Elephas maximus indicus: one gene and its partner. The protein of the gene in region 1 interacts with the protein of each later gene in a pairwise test. Links are inferred from orthologs where the notes say so. Each region holds a gene or a part of one and is shown in the gene's direction. Other genes may lie near its edges.

What was found.
Region 2: the proteins of POC5 (region 1) and CETN1 interact in binary tests that used the Homo sapiens proteins (3 or more experiments, as listed by UniProt). The link is inferred for Elephas maximus indicus from reciprocal best matches to the Homo sapiens genes POC5 and CETN1.

What each region holds. Positions count from the first base shown.
Region 1 is NC_064820.1:80,287,248-80,295,792, reverse strand, and holds the start of POC5 (centrosomal protein POC5), read left to right. Parts: upstream 1-5,132; 5' UTR 5,133-5,236; exon of another isoform or gene 5,237-5,481; intron 5,482-6,956; 5' UTR 6,957-7,231; intron 7,232-8,545. UniProt on the Homo sapiens protein: Essential for the assembly of the distal half of centrioles, required for centriole elongation. Acts as a negative regulator of centriole elongation.
Region 2 is NC_064829.1:26,009,578-26,016,291, reverse strand, and holds CETN1 (centrin-1), read left to right. Parts: upstream 1-5,445; coding exon 5,446-5,964; downstream 5,965-6,714. UniProt on the Homo sapiens protein: Plays a fundamental role in microtubule-organizing center structure and function. Plays a role in sperm cilia formation.

The sequences.
Region 1 (8,545 bases):
TTTTACAGTAGTGGTCTCATACAATATTTGTCCTTTTGTGATTGACTTATTTCACTGAGCATAATGTCCTGTGCTGAGTTCCTTTTGTTTTTGTAGATTTTGTTTTTATCAAGACTTTATGATTTTCTTCTTTATTTTTATGAGTAGGTTATAAACTTCTCTGTGGTTACTTTGAGATTTACCCTTATCTTCCTAGGTTTGAACCAGTCTATTATTTCATGGTATCACTTTGCCTTCTTCTCCATTAGAACATTGTATACCTATAACGTTTATTCCCTCTTTTATTGTTCTGATGTTGTTGTCATTTACAGATTAACCTCTCTAGTTCCCTATTGCAGTTGTTTTGGTTTTGGATAGTCCATGAGAGTTCATTTCCTACGTTGGTATCTGGCTGATACAATCCTGCATCCTAGATTCAGGCTGTGGTCTGATGTTGTTTGTTCTAATACTGAAGGACTCCCTTTAATAATTCTTTTAAGTTTGGTTTAGTTTTTACATATTCCCTTAATTTCTGTTTATCTGGAAATGTCCTAATTTCACCATCATATTTGAACTAAAGTTTTGCAGAATATACTATTCTTGGTTGGCAATTTTTTTCTTTCAAGGTTTTATATATGTCATCCCATTGTCCTCTTGCCTGCGTGGCTTCTGCTGAATAACCAGATCTTAGTCTTATTGTTTCTCCTGTGTATGTCACTTTTTGTTTTTCTCAAGCTGCTTGCAGGATTTCTTCTTTGTCTTTGGTTTTACCGAGTATGATTATGATATGTCTTGGTGTTTTTCTTTTGAAGTCTATCCTATATGGGGTTCATTGAGCTTCTTGGATGGTCAGCTTTTCATCATTCATGATATTAGGGAAGTTTTCTATCAGCAATTCTTTAATGATCCTCTTTGTGTTTTCCATTTTCTCTCCCTGTTTGGAACTCCAATCACTCACAAATTTTTGCTTTTGATTGTATCCCACATAATTCTCAGGGTTTCTTCATTTTTCTTCTTTTTCCTGATTTTTCCTCAAACAGAGTTGTATCCAATTATTTGTCTTCAATTTCACTAATTCTGTCTTCCACTATTTCAAACCTACTCCTCAGCCCCTCTATGACGCTGTCCATTTCTGAAATATTGTTGTTTATCTTTTGGATTTCTAAGTATTGTTTTTGTATGATTTCTAGTTGTGAATTTATTTTGGCATTTTGTTCCTGTATTGCTTTCCTGAATTGTTCCATTTTTTGGTCTATATTTTCCATGAATTTATCTGCCTTTTCCAAAATTTGTCTTTTTTTTTTCCTTATTTTTGTCTGCTTTTTACTTCAACTCTTGGATTGCTCTGAATATTAGAGATCTGAACTCCCTGTCAGCATCCTGTCCTGTTTTTCTATATGTTGTGATATTGTCTGCTGTCTCTGGGACATTCAGTAGTTATTCTCTTCATTTCTTGATTGTAGATTTGCTTGTTTTGCCCTGATTTTTTCCTTTATTTGGTTTTGTTTGAGCAGGTGGGCTGTGTGTTCTTTGTTGTTTGCTCATCTGTAATCATGATACTTTTCACCTCCTTGTACAATGGGCAGGGTCAGTCATTCAGCTATGGTGCAGCAAGGCAGGTCCAGCTGAAAGGAGGGCTGGGATGGGTTCTTTGTGGCACATACTAGGGCTGACAGGGCAGGCCAGAAATCAGTGCTGAGCAGGTTCCACTAGGCCATGCCTGTGCTGCTCAGGGGTGTGGGAAAGAGGAAAGAGAGGAAAGAAAAACAGGAGCCAAAAACAAACAAGCAAACACAGAAGGGGGAAAAAAAAGAGTGCTAAGGAAGCTTGCCGTTAGAGTGGAGAGAAGAGAAACCAAGAAATGGAGAAAAGCAAAAAGAAAAAGGGAAAAAGAAAAAAATAACTAGATAAAAATTTCAAAAAGAAAAAAAGGCCCCAAGAGTCCCAGAGTATCACCAGTGGGGCTGCTAAGACCGGGGAAGTGGCTCCCAGGCTGCACAGTATAGCCTGGCTAGAGGGAATATAGATGTCACACAGCACCAGGTGTTCAGGAGACAGGAAAAGAAGGTAAGTGTAGAGAGATGAGAACTGAGGACTGAAGACAGACAGAAAGGGAAAAAGAGAGAAAAGAAAGAAAAAAAAGAAATGCCCCCAGAGATCCCACCTAGGTGGCTGCGCAGATCGGGGAGTGGCTCCTGAGCCATGCAGTGCAGCCCAGCTAGAAGGGGCTCCCAAGGTTCGAAAACAAACAAAACAGAGTAAAACAAGGAAAAAGAAGCCCCAGGGATTCCACCAGCATGGTGTCATTGGGCCAGAAGAGTGGTTCCCCAGTTAAGCATGGCTTCACAGCCTTTCAAGAAGAAGCAAAGATGGTACACGTAGCCAGGTGTTCCAGAGAAAGGAGGGGGAGGCACAGAAGAAACCAAGAGAGGGAAAGAACCTACCCCAACTCATGGACCCGGCCAGTGTGGGCAGGGTGAATCCAAGCATCCTGAGGCCAAAGCAGTTGCTTCCCAGCCAAGAGACTGCAGCTGGCGGGAAGCAGAGGAGGCCGAAGTGGGGGAGGAAAAAGGGGGGATTTAGGAAACCGTATGTGGCTCATTACCAGGTGCTCTGTCTCCTGCTGGGACCTTCCTAAAGCTGCTTTCCCGTACTCCCTGTCTGCGGATGACGATGTGGGTGGGGCGAATCCAAGCAGCATGGACTCTGCACTTCCCAGCCTGCCAAGCCACTGCAGCTAGCCAGCTGGGAGAGAATGAGGGGTGGGAAAGTGTGTATCCCTGGTTACCAGGTGCTTCATCTCCTCCTGGGAGTTCCCCAAAGCTGCTTTCCCATGCTCCCTGTCTGCGATCCCTGACTGGCGGCAAGATGGCGGATCTCTACTGCCTTAGCTGATGGGACCCTCTGCACGTATCTCTCCCCTTCTCGGTCCTCTGTCAGTTTCTTAATCCATTCAGTGCTTGGCTGAGTTCTCTATCTCTTCGTTTGGCACTTCCAGTTCCAGGAATGATGTTTGTCTCTGTTTTACTTAGTTTTTCAGGTCTTTGCTGTGGAAGGACAGCGTGGTGCTTCTGTCTATGGTGCCATGTTGGCCGGAATTCCAACCATGGTGTTTTCAGTTGCCTCACATGCATGCAAAAGCTGGACGGTGAATAACGAAGACCAAAGAAGAATTGATGCCTTTGAATTGTGGTGCTGGCGAAGAATATTGAATACACCAGGCACTGCCAGAAGAACAAACAAATCTGTCTTGGAAGAAGTACAACCAGAATGCTCCTTACAATCAAGGATGGTGAGACTAGTCTCACATACTTTCTGCATGTTATCAGGAGGTATCAGTCCCTGGAGAAAGACATCATGCCTGGTAAAGTAGAGGGTCAGTGAGAAAGAGGAAGACCCGCAAGGAGATGGATTGACACAATGGCTGCAATGGTGGGCTTAAGCATAACAAGGATTGTGAGGATGGCTCAGGACCAGGCAGTGTTTTGTTCTATTGTACATATGGTCACTGTGAGTCAGAACTGACGTGACGGCACCTAACAACAAAACAGTGACAGGAGGGCCCAGGAATAATGAATTGGTAACAATTAGAGCATGTGGAGTCACCACATGACAACTCAACTAAAAAAAAAAGCTAATGGTACCAGTTATGAATTTATATATATTAACAGGACTTTGTCCTTTATAGTAAGGATGGGGAGAAAAAGGGATGGGCAAGCATAGTTTATGCTGAAGAAGCTGCTGGTGCTCTTTTTACTTCATTCACTGGATGCTGCAAACTGTTAACATACTTAGCTGCTAACTAGAAAGCTGGAGGTTCGAGTCCACCCAGAGGCACCTCGAAAGAATGTCCTGATGATCTACTTCAGAAAATCAGCCATTGAAAACGCTGTAGAGCACAGTTCTACTGACACACATGGGGTCACCATGAGTCTGAATCAACTACATGGCAAATGGTTTTGTTTTGTTTTTATCTATAGAAAAAGAAATACATCATCCTCCAGGTAACACAGCCTGAAAACTCATCATGGTGTAAGCCAGGATTGAACCCTTTGCCACCTGGATCCTTATGTTCCTCAAGCCATATCCATTGACCCATTGCCATGGAGTCAATTTTGACCCATAATGACCCCGTAGAAAAGAGTAGGACTGCCCCATAGGGTTTCCAGTGAGCAGCTGGTGGATTCGAACTGCCTACCTTTTAGTTTGTAGCCAAGCTCTTAACCACTGCACCACCTGGGCTTCTCTATGTTGAACAGGAGTAGTGAAAGAGGACTTCATTGGCTTGTTCCTGGTCTTAGGGGTAAAGCATTTGGTTATCTTTAGGTTTTTCTAGCCATGGCTGCTACCTATTCAAATTGAAAGATAGAGGTGTGATATATCTATTTGATAGGCATTTTAGATTTATTTACTCATTTCAACTCCCTAGAACCCTGTTATGTGGGTAGAATTATCCAAGATCATATAGTGAGTAGATGACAGAGCCAGGGCTTTATTATGATCTGATCGTAAGGTCGATACTCATTTAGCCAGAACGGCCTGCCTTGCAGTCTGATGCGTTTAAAGTCATTAATAAAATCTAATCCAGCAACTTCTTAAAATGTGGCCCGCAGATCTGGACATCAGAATCACTGGCAATGTTTGTTAACAAACCAGATTCCCTGGCCCCACCCAAGACCGAAGAATCAGAAGAGGAGCCAGGAATCAGTATTTTTAAAAAGTACCTTCAAGTGATTCTTTTGCAGGTAATCTATGAATGCAAATTATTTCTATACAAACTGAAGTATGAGGATCACAAGTTTAAGATACCGGCATTGTTGAAAGCCAATAGCATACTGCCTCAGCCGACTTCAACCCGGCAGGACAGCCCATAACCAAATTCTAATCTCCGAAGCGCCTCAGCGAGCAGCCGCACAACGCAACTGAGCACGCGCGGCACTGACTCTCCCTCGCGCTGGTCGCGGCTCTTTAAGACCACGCCCCCTCAGGACCGGCCGAAGCAGGGGGCGGGTCTCTCTTTAAAGACACCAAATTCCGTCGTCTCACGCAGGGGTCCAAAGCCCCGCCCCCGACACTCGGACCAATCAAACAACAGATTGCTGAAGCTCGGGGCCAATGCACAGGGCTGTTCTTAATTAGTCTCTGCAGTTTGAAACTGTCAGGTTGCTTCTAGGGTAGCAGCTGTACTCGCTGTTTTAGTGGCGACGCGGTGGGGAGACGCAGGGTGGCGTTCGGATTCTGTCCAGAGCCGGTGACGGTGGGTAGCGGCGCCCCGGGCGGGCCCCGCTTTCAGGCTAAGGTATAGGAGTGGAGGTTCAAGTTCCTTGGCCCGGGTTTCCGCTGCCGGGCTGCCATACGGAAGGGCTGGGGACGTCTTCCCGAGACGCGGGCGATTTAGCTGTTCTGGGAGTGCCTGAGGTTTTTCCACTCCAAGGCATCGGCAAAAAGGGCAGGAGTGAGGGCCTGCCCGAAGTGTAGCGGTCCTGTTGCCGCAAAGTTCTGGTAATTTAAAACGGGGGGGGGGGGAATCATACGTAAAGCTTTATTATTTTTAAGTGAGAATTTGATGAAAACAAAAATGGATAGGAAAAGAGATTGAAGAAAACTTCTCCGTTTTCTTGCTTGCAACTGCTTTTTTCCTTTGATGTGGGGAGGGGCTGGTGTGCCCCTCCCCTTGCTTGCTGCTAGGACCCGGAACCGGCACAGGGGTCATCATCCTGCTGCCGGCTTGCACGTTAATTTACTCTTCCTCTGCTTCTTGGGGTTACATTTGAATTCCCAAACTCCTCTTTCCCTACCAGCCAGATAATTACCCAGATGTAATTTGATTTCTCTGGCAATAGAGAAGCACCCAAAACTTTTTATCTTCTGGTTTCCAAGACCTTGGTTTAAAGAATACTGAAAATTTAGTAAACTAATGTGCCTTTGCTACCCATGAAAGCAAGTTTCATTTTTCTCCTTTGAATCTAGAAACAGTAAGGAAAATGTAGGGTTTTCAATAAACTGTGTACCTTCTTTGTATCAAAGCAAGATGAATGGAATACTTAGAGCATATTTTCCAAAAGTCCAGTAGTAGTTTTGTGTCGGCAGTATCTATGTTCAGAAACTCATTTTTGATGTCTGATCATACTCTTCAGCCCTTCTTTTTTTTTTTTTTTATCAGCACCAGCCTACCCCTACTCCTATTACCTACCCAGTCTGCAAACAAATACTAAAGGAAGCGAATGAAAATATAAATAAACCACGTTACCACAGTAGTGGATATGAAATCAGTGAAACAGGCCTCCCTTGTTGCAGATGTATGTGCTTATTTTATCCTTCCTAATTGGCTTAACTAAAGACAATCATGCTGAGATTTCAGTTCCTTATTATGTGTTAATACATACAAAGTCATGAGATTTCATTTCCTTATTATGTGTTAATACATACAAAGTAATGTTCATGAAATAAAATTACCTTTTAAGGTCTTCACAATCTAGCTCCAGTTTATGTTTCCATTCCAATATTGCACTCTTCCTGTATTAGCCCTTTTTACCTCAGTTTCCTCATCTCTCCGTCCTTCATCCCACTGTGCTTGAGACCTGTTCCATTTTCCACTAAAATTGCTCGGGCAAGTGTCACAGCAACTTCTTGATTGCCAAATTCAAGGGACTCTGCAATCTTCACCATCTCACTCTGATACTGCCTTCTTGAAATTGTGATTGTGCTCTCCTACTTCTCCTGTTATGACTTCTTTCTCAGTCTCTTTGCTGGCTCTTCTCTTCTCCTTTAAATGTTAGTGGTTCTGGGTTTAACCCTCTTTTCAAAGTAGTGGTCCTTAATAAATTAGGGTTATAGTTCCCTGTGAACACATATTGAAAGGTAAGGATCCTCTTCCTAGAGAGATGGATATGTGTATTTATACTAAAAATACTGTGGGTAATTTGGGTGTAAGAACCTCAGGTTAAGAATTCTTTCTCACACTCCTTTTGTTTTAGCAGCCCTCATTATGTTGATAATTCCTCAAATTATATGGCTAATCTACACCTTCAGTACAGGACGTCTACACTGCATAACTCCAGGAAGCACCATTGGCATTTTAGCCATTGTGAATGATAGTCCTTGGAGTTGTACAGTGCATAGCCAGCGTGGCCATACACTGCATACCTACAGCTTCACCTCTGCCTCAGAAGCACCTCATACCCAGCATATCTGATATTGAAGTCATTGCCCTTCCTCTCAACATGCCTATCTTCCTACATTCCCTGCCTTGGTGAGTAGTGCTATCATCTATGTCACCCAAGCCAGAAGTCAGAAAACCATCAACAGTTCCTCCTTATAACCCCTTAACCAGTTATTGATCATGATCTTTTATTTCCACTGCCGTAACACATCTGACTCATAGTTGAACCCTCCGTCCCTTTCCCATTGCTGCCTCTTAGATTCAGGTCCTTATTTATCTCCTGGATTACTGCTGGAGGGAACACTGATATCATAGACTACTGCAGTAGGCTCCCAATATATCTCTCTTCAGTACCCCACCTCTCTAGTCTATCCTCAAAACTGCCAGATAGATCCTTCTAAAAGCCAAGCCTAATCATGTTATCAAACTTCCTAGAAGGAGCCCTGGTGGCTCAGTGATTAAGCACTCAGCTAGTAACTTAAAGGTCGGCAGTTCAAACCCACCAGTGGCTCCATGGGAGAAAAGACCCTGCAATCTGCTCCTGTAAAGATTATTGTTGTGTGTTGTCGTGTTGATTCCAACTCATAGTGACCTTGTAGGACAGAGTAGAACTTCCCTTTAGGCTCTTCTAGGCTGTAATCTTTATGAGAGCATATCATGAGGTCTTTTCTCCCACAGAGCTGCTGGTGGGTTCAAACCATTCACCTTTCAGTTAACAGCCGAGGGCTTGACCATTGTGCCACCAGTGTTCCTTCCTGCAAAGATTACAGTCTAGGATACCCTGTGAGGCAATTCTTATTTGTCATAGAGTCACTATGAATCAGAATCAACCTGACAGTACGCTGCAAGAGGTGGCACAGTTTGCACTCAACTGCTAACAGAAAGGTTGGTGGTCTGCTTTTGTTTACGAATATAGGCAAAGAATATAGGCAAGGAAACCCTGTGGATTAGTTCTACTCGGTAACGCATGGGCTCTCCCTGAGTCGAAATCGACTTGATGGCACTAAAAACAACAACAGCAAATCCTGTTATCACTGGTTTAAAACAATTTATGTTTCAGGCTGAGATCTGCTCATCATTTGGGTTTCAACTCCTGGGTCATTTGTCTTCTCTAAAAAACTTTTTCTGGCTCTTTCCCCTTCTTCACACACCTAAAGCCTCACCTCAGGAAATGACTACTCCTACTTTCCTACTTTCTACCTTTGCTGTTTTAAGGTCTAACAGCACTTTTTTTCATCAATCAGTTATTTATATTATGTATATACCTGGGCGTCATTACAAATTGTAAAGTCCTTGAGGACAAAAACTTTCTTCATCTTATATTCCTCACCGATATCTTATACATAACTGGTGTTCAGATATTTTGAACAGTCACTATTTGTCTCCTGAATAATTTGTTTACCT
Region 2 (6,714 bases), on another chromosome or scaffold:
AAAAAGGCTCGGGCTGACTCACTGGACTTGACTTCATATTCCCATTTAGAGACCACCGGGATTGTAAAACGCTTGCTGCTGAGTCCATTTCTTGTAAATGGCTCCACGTATTCAAGGATAAATAGTTTGGCTCAGTTGTTGTTGGTTTTGGGGTCCCCCATCTACTACCTCAGCACAGTTGTCTAGCTTATGTAGGAGAAGTGTCAAGCATTTGCATTTTTTTCTGTTCTGCATTTGCTGGAAAGTAAATAGGCAGCAATAAAGAAACTATTATGCACGCTTTCTGCCTTGGGTGGCACCTGGAATTTGCTGAATTTGCTGAGTGCGAGTTAAATTTTAAAAGGCTCCTGAGCTTCACCTTTTTCATGCCATGGAAGTCAAATGGAAAACCAAATAATAAGAACAAGCAAGCTGCGTGAGTCTTTTCTCTTGCTCTCAACTGACGCCAGGCCCTGTTGTGGAATTCCAGCACCTCCCCCCTTCCAGCTGTTAAGTTTCCAGGACCAGACTTAAACAACCATCTCCTCTCAGATAATCAACAGCCGATTTTGCATATTACCTAGGACATCATGGTACAAGAATTTTTAAAGGCAAAAAAAAAAAACGCTCATAGCCAATGGTTTTCCAGCACATCTCATTTACTTGATGTTAGCCTAATTAGATCTTTAAAAGTGACTTTAAAGTAACCAAGCTGATTTTCACATGCATTAGATCCATGCTCACTAACGCCAACCAAAGGCACTTTGCCCAGACTGCCTTCCATTAACTTGTACACAGAGTTGAGAGCAGGGGGTGGAGTGAAGCAGAGTTGAAGAACAACAAATGTAAATTCCAAGCACTTTGTTCTTTCGTCTCTTGGTGGCTGGTCCCAAAATGGGACCCTGCCCAAGATCCTACAAATTGTGTTAAACCTTTCTAGGTGAGATGCTTCGTTATTGTTAGGTTTAGAGAAGAAAATCAGATGCCATATATTACCAATGACACGACATTTTGGTAATAACCTTGGCTTTTGGAGGTGGCAGCATGGTATAGTGGACAAAGCCTCAGCACTGGACTCAGATAGGCCAATGTTTAAGTCCCAGCACCACCCTTCAGTGGCTGTGTACCTTTGGATACATTCCTGTGCCTCATCTGCAAAATGAGAAATGATTGCAAAGATTTAAATGAGATGGCAAATGTGAGGACCAAGCCCAATGCTAGGCACACCATCAATCGCTTTTAAGTTTCCCTTTCCTTTCAAAGTCAGATCTCGGATTATGAACACTAAATAACTCCCCAGGCAAAGCTGACTCTGTCCATGGGCACTGTGGTCTACTCAGGGAGGTCTTGGTGGCCCTTTGTTGTGACTGTTGATTGCACACATCTGGAAACTATGACAACTGTTTTGCTTTGAGCTCAACTTGGCCCAAATGCAGCTCTATGTAAGGCAGCTTCTATCCTTCAGTTTTTCCCAACTCATCATAGCTTGGCTTGAATTTGGGCAAAGGATTGGGTGGCAAAGGAAATGCACAATGTCAGGGAGGAATTGAGATTCAGTTAACAATGATCCAGCCTTCTATGGCCCCACTAGGGAACTGCCTCTGGAGCTTTCATATGCATTAGCTCATTGAAACTGCACAGGAGCTCTACTAGGAAGATTTATTATTATGCCTACTTTGCAGATGCTTGAATTGAGTCTGGGAGGTTGTAAAATGGTGGTAGTGGCTGGATTAGCATCAGAACCTGTCTAACTTCTGGGGGGCTAATGACCAGCAACAGCCTTAAAGTGATCCCTATGGGGTAGAGGTCAGAGATACTTCCACTCTTTGAACTTTTACCAATTCTGACACCAACCATACTTCTCACAGCAATGGCCACACAGAACTCACAGACCATACTTATAGTTAAGTGGCATATTAAGGAAGTAACAGGGTACAATTTGGGATCAGGATCAATAGGCTACAACTCAGGACCAGGATTAGGAAGTATGTAGATAAAATCTTCCTTCTTCTGTGCAGGACAGCTCTCTCAGCTCCTCTTGTCTGTGCAGGCCTCCTCTCAGCCCCATCAGGACAGGCCCCTCTCAGCCCCCTCTGGACAGGCCCCTCTCACTCCACTCAGGACAGGCCCTGGTCAGGCCCCTCAGGACAGGCCATTCTCAGGACAGACCTCTCTGCCTTCGGCCTCCCTGCTGTTAGCTCTGCTGCCAGGGCCCCTTGCAGGCTGGTCTCCATCTCAACCTCTGGGCGCCTTCTGGGCCTCTTGTGGCCTTCAATGTTACCGCCTTTGACCAAAGTTACAGCTTTTTTAGAAGATTCCTTGTCTCTTCTCTCTTTGCTTCTTCTCTCATCTTTCTCCTTTCTGCTTCTTCCTGCTTCCTGTTTCTAAAATCTCTGTGTGGTTGGCTGCTTATATACACAACTCCCTGTCAATTTCAAATAATGGTCCCTCCCAGCAGGGGGACAGATATGTCATTTGCATAGTAGGTGATAGTCACCTCGTGGTATAGCCTACTGACCAATCCTGCAAGGTACATACTAATTACAGGGCCAGCTGCAGCACAGAACCAGACAAAAAGTATCAAAACCAAGTTGTTTATAGCTTACTCAGTGTTATGTGTTCCCCCAAAATATCTATTAACTTGGCTAGGCCATGATTCCCAGTATTGTATCATTGTCCACCATTTTGTCATCTGATGTGATTTTCCTGTATATTGAAAATCCTACCGGTATGATGTTAATGAAGCAGGATTAGAGGCAGTTATGTTAATGAGGCAGGACTCAATCTACAAGATTAGGTTGTATATTGAGTCAGTCTCTTTCGAGATATGAAAGAGAGAAACAAGCAGAGACACAGAGGGAACTCCTATCACTAAGAAAGAAGAGTCAAGAGTGAGAGCATTCTTTGGACCCAGAGTTCCTGCGCCTAAGAAACCCCTAACCCAGGAGAAGACTGATGACAAGGACCTTGCCCCAGAGTTGACATAGAGAGAAAACCTTCCCCTGGAGCTGGCTCCCTGAATTTGGACTTCTAGCTTCCTAAACCCTGAGACAATAAATTTCTCTTTGTTAAAGCCATCCACTTGTGGATTTCTTTTACAGCAGCACCAGGTGACTAAGACACCCAGGAATTGTCAATCAACCTGGACAAAAGCAACAAACCCTCTGGGTAACTCCTCAGGGCTTAGGGGAAAAACCCCTCAAGAGGCTTTTCCAAAGAACCAAGGCAAAAGGCCACATAAAGGAACTCATTTCACCACAGAGGTTAAGTGACTTTCCCAAGGTCACAGTTAATAAGTCAGTGACTTATTAAGTCTGGTTTTGGATATGGGAGGAGGCAGGAGGATTTGCATTGTCGAAGTATGAGCAGCTATAGCGTCTGCCTGCCAAAGTCTACTTTGAGCTGATGATGTCTATGACAAGAGCTGAAAAGTGGGAGAGGGGAGATCCCAGATGAGTTTCCTTGGCCTTTGAAACCCTTTGCCCAGGACTCTGTCCAGTAAGCCATATATCCTCAGGGGCAGGTAATGAGATCTGGCTAATTAAACATGCCGTGTATACCATATCTGATCACTAATTTAAAAAAATTGAATTCGTAAAACACTACTAGCACTATTTAATCTTTTGGGTATGTTTGTGTGTTTTAGGACCAACATTATATTGTCATTCATTTATTCAACAAATATTTATTAACCCTTCTAATTGTGAGTCACTCACTGTTGTAACTGGTTGAATAGTGATATTTTTTTTCTTTCAAGAAAGCTAAAAGAAAAAAAAGGTTTCCTTTCCTTTTTTAGCTGTATGAAGAATTATGGGTGGAAACCGTGGTGGCATACTAGTTAAGTGCTACACCTGCTAAGCAAAGAGTTGGCATTTCAAATCCGCCAGACATTTCTTGGAAGCTCTATGGGGCCGTTCTACTCTGTCCTATAGGGTCGCTATGAGTCGGAATTGACTCGACGGCACTGGGTTTAGTTTTTTTGGTAAAGAAGTATGGAGCAATTCTAAGTAATCCACTTATGGGCTTACTTAGTGATTTTTTTCTTTTTTCCTTCTTTTCACTTGAAAAGCTATTTTTCTGTTGCCCCTTTGGTTCACAGGAGGACTCCTTTGTTCCCATGAGGCAATTTTGGGTCCCAACATGCCCCATAGTTATCTCCTTCCGTGTCCACTGCCAAAGGAGGACTGCTAAGGTGTGGGTTCCAGCACAGTCTTGACTGGATGGCAATCAGTGAGAGCAATATGTTGCTGGCTAGATAGCTGCCATTGAGTTGATGCCCACTCACAGAGCTCTTAGGCACAACAAAATGAAATGCCCAGTCCCGCATCATCCCCACAATCACCAGCATGTTTGAGTCCACTGTTGTGGTTTCTATGCCAATCCATCTCACTGAAGGTCTCCCATGACCTCACTGGCCCTCTACTTCACCAGACATGATGTCTTCCTCCACCGATGGAGCCCTCCTGATAACATGTCCAAAGTTGGGCAATGTTTTGTTGTGATCCATAAAGTTTTCATTGGCTAATTTTTGGAAGTAGGTCATCAGGCTTTTCTTCTTAGTCCGTCTTGGTCTGGAAGCTCTGCTGAAACCTGTCCACCATGGGTGACCATGCAGGTATTTGAAATATCAGTGGCATAGCTTCCAGAATCACAACCACATGCAAGCCATCACAGTACGGCAAACTGACAGAAGAAGGTGGAATATGGTGCTAGGGTTTTTAAAAACCAGAGTACCAGAATCTATAGTATTCCCCCACTCCCAATTAAAAGTAAACCGAATAAAATTATGACCATTATTCAAGTGCAACTATTCTGAGTATTTATAAATGAAACACTGAAAGTAAATTGCACATTCAGATATTACATCTCATATTTGAGGACAAGCCAAATAAACTTGTGAAGTTCTATTATCGTTGAATGTAATGTCAGGCGACAAACTTCTACTATTTTTATGGATAACGGTTTCCATTTTATCTGCTTTTCTGTTTATGTCAACTTGGATGCTTGGTGTGACCTTTAATATTTTTCCTACTACTTCCCCTCATCTAATGTCAAGTGATTCAAACCCAGTCTCCAGGATCCTAAATTTACCCTTAACCTCAGACTAAGGGTTTTAAAATAAGTATGGGAAAGGAGAGAAGAAGGACTTCCAAATAAATAGACAAAACTGGTTTCAATGGATGTTAACAAATGGTCTAGGAAAAAAGAACAGTCAAGTACCAATGAATTATGGAAGACAACTGTGGCTATCGGCAGCTATTGCCAGCTCAGGTATCAACTCGTGGACGCTAACGGTAAATAGGATCGCGCAGACGTGACAGGCTCAGTGGGATAGGGCTCTCTGGGATAGCGCAGTGGAAGGACTGACCGTTGGGAACGAATGAGGTGCAAGGCTGTGCCCGCGCACCGGGTGGGGGGCCCCAGCGAGCAGCGCTAACGCCGTTGAACTAACAGCCGCCGCAGAGGATGGCGTCCAGCTTTAAGAAGTCACATGTGGCCTCTGCCAGCCAGAGAAGAAAGGTGGGCCCAAAGCCTGAACTCACTGAAGATCAGAAGCAAGAAGTTCGGGAAGCATTTGATCTCTTCGATGCTGACGGCAGTGGGACCATCGACGTGAAGGAGCTGAAGGTGGCCATGAGAGCGCTGGGCTTTGAGCCCAGGAAGGAGGAGATGAAGAAAATGATCTCCGACGTGGACAAGGAAGGCACTGGGAAAATCAGCTTCAATGACTTCTTGGCCGTGATGACCCAGAAGATGGCTGAGAAAGATACCAAAGAAGAAATTCTGAAGGCTTTCAGGCTCTTTGATGATGATGAAACCGGAAAAATCTCTTTCAAAAACCTCAAGCGTGTGGCCAATGAATTGGGGGAAAACCTCACGGATGAGGAGCTGCAGGAAATGATTGACGAAGCTGATCGGGATGGAGACGGTGAAGTAAACGAGGAAGAGTTTCTTCGGATCATGAAGAAGACCAACCTTTATTAAAGCCAGCTTCCCCTGGCAAACGCCAAGTTCAGTGACGACTTGGATTTCCCGCTTCTGTTTTGTGAAAACTTGTTTTAGAGGGCAGCGGGTATCTCTCCCCATCCCCACTAATTTGTCTAGATAATTCTATTTCTAAATTTTTGGCTCCATTATAGAATTTTAAAGATGTTTTTAATTTGAGTTTTTGTTTTTAATTCTCAAGAGCAGAGCTGGAGCACATTAGATTGGATAAAGGCCCTGAAGCTTCTATCCACCTGCCATTTTGCCTTTCACTTGTGGACATCCATTAAAGCAATATGAAACAGCTTCTTGGGACAATCAGAAATGTGGGTTTCCTTGTCACTTCTTTGGTGTTCCCACATTATCTTGCTTCAGCATTCCTTAAATTCAAGTCATTGTTCCAGCAAGATGAAACAATCTGCCAGCGGTCATCCTTGCACTGCTTTTCACTAAATTAAATTCTGTTGGGAAGGAAAACGGTTGCTCACTTAGGTACTTGCTGGGCTCAGGAAAGATAGTGTTATGAAGTATAGGCTTGGCAAATTGTACAACTTAGTCTATTCTCTGGCTTCATCACATGAAATGCTTTTTTGTCGTTTGTGTGTATATTATCTACTATGAATTATCGAGGGCCAGAATGAATACCTGGACTATAGATTAAAAGCACAGTTTAACACTGGCTCAAGCAAAATATAATTTGCTTGAGAGATGAAGCTAACTAATGATTTTGAGTAAATATTTGCAAATGTA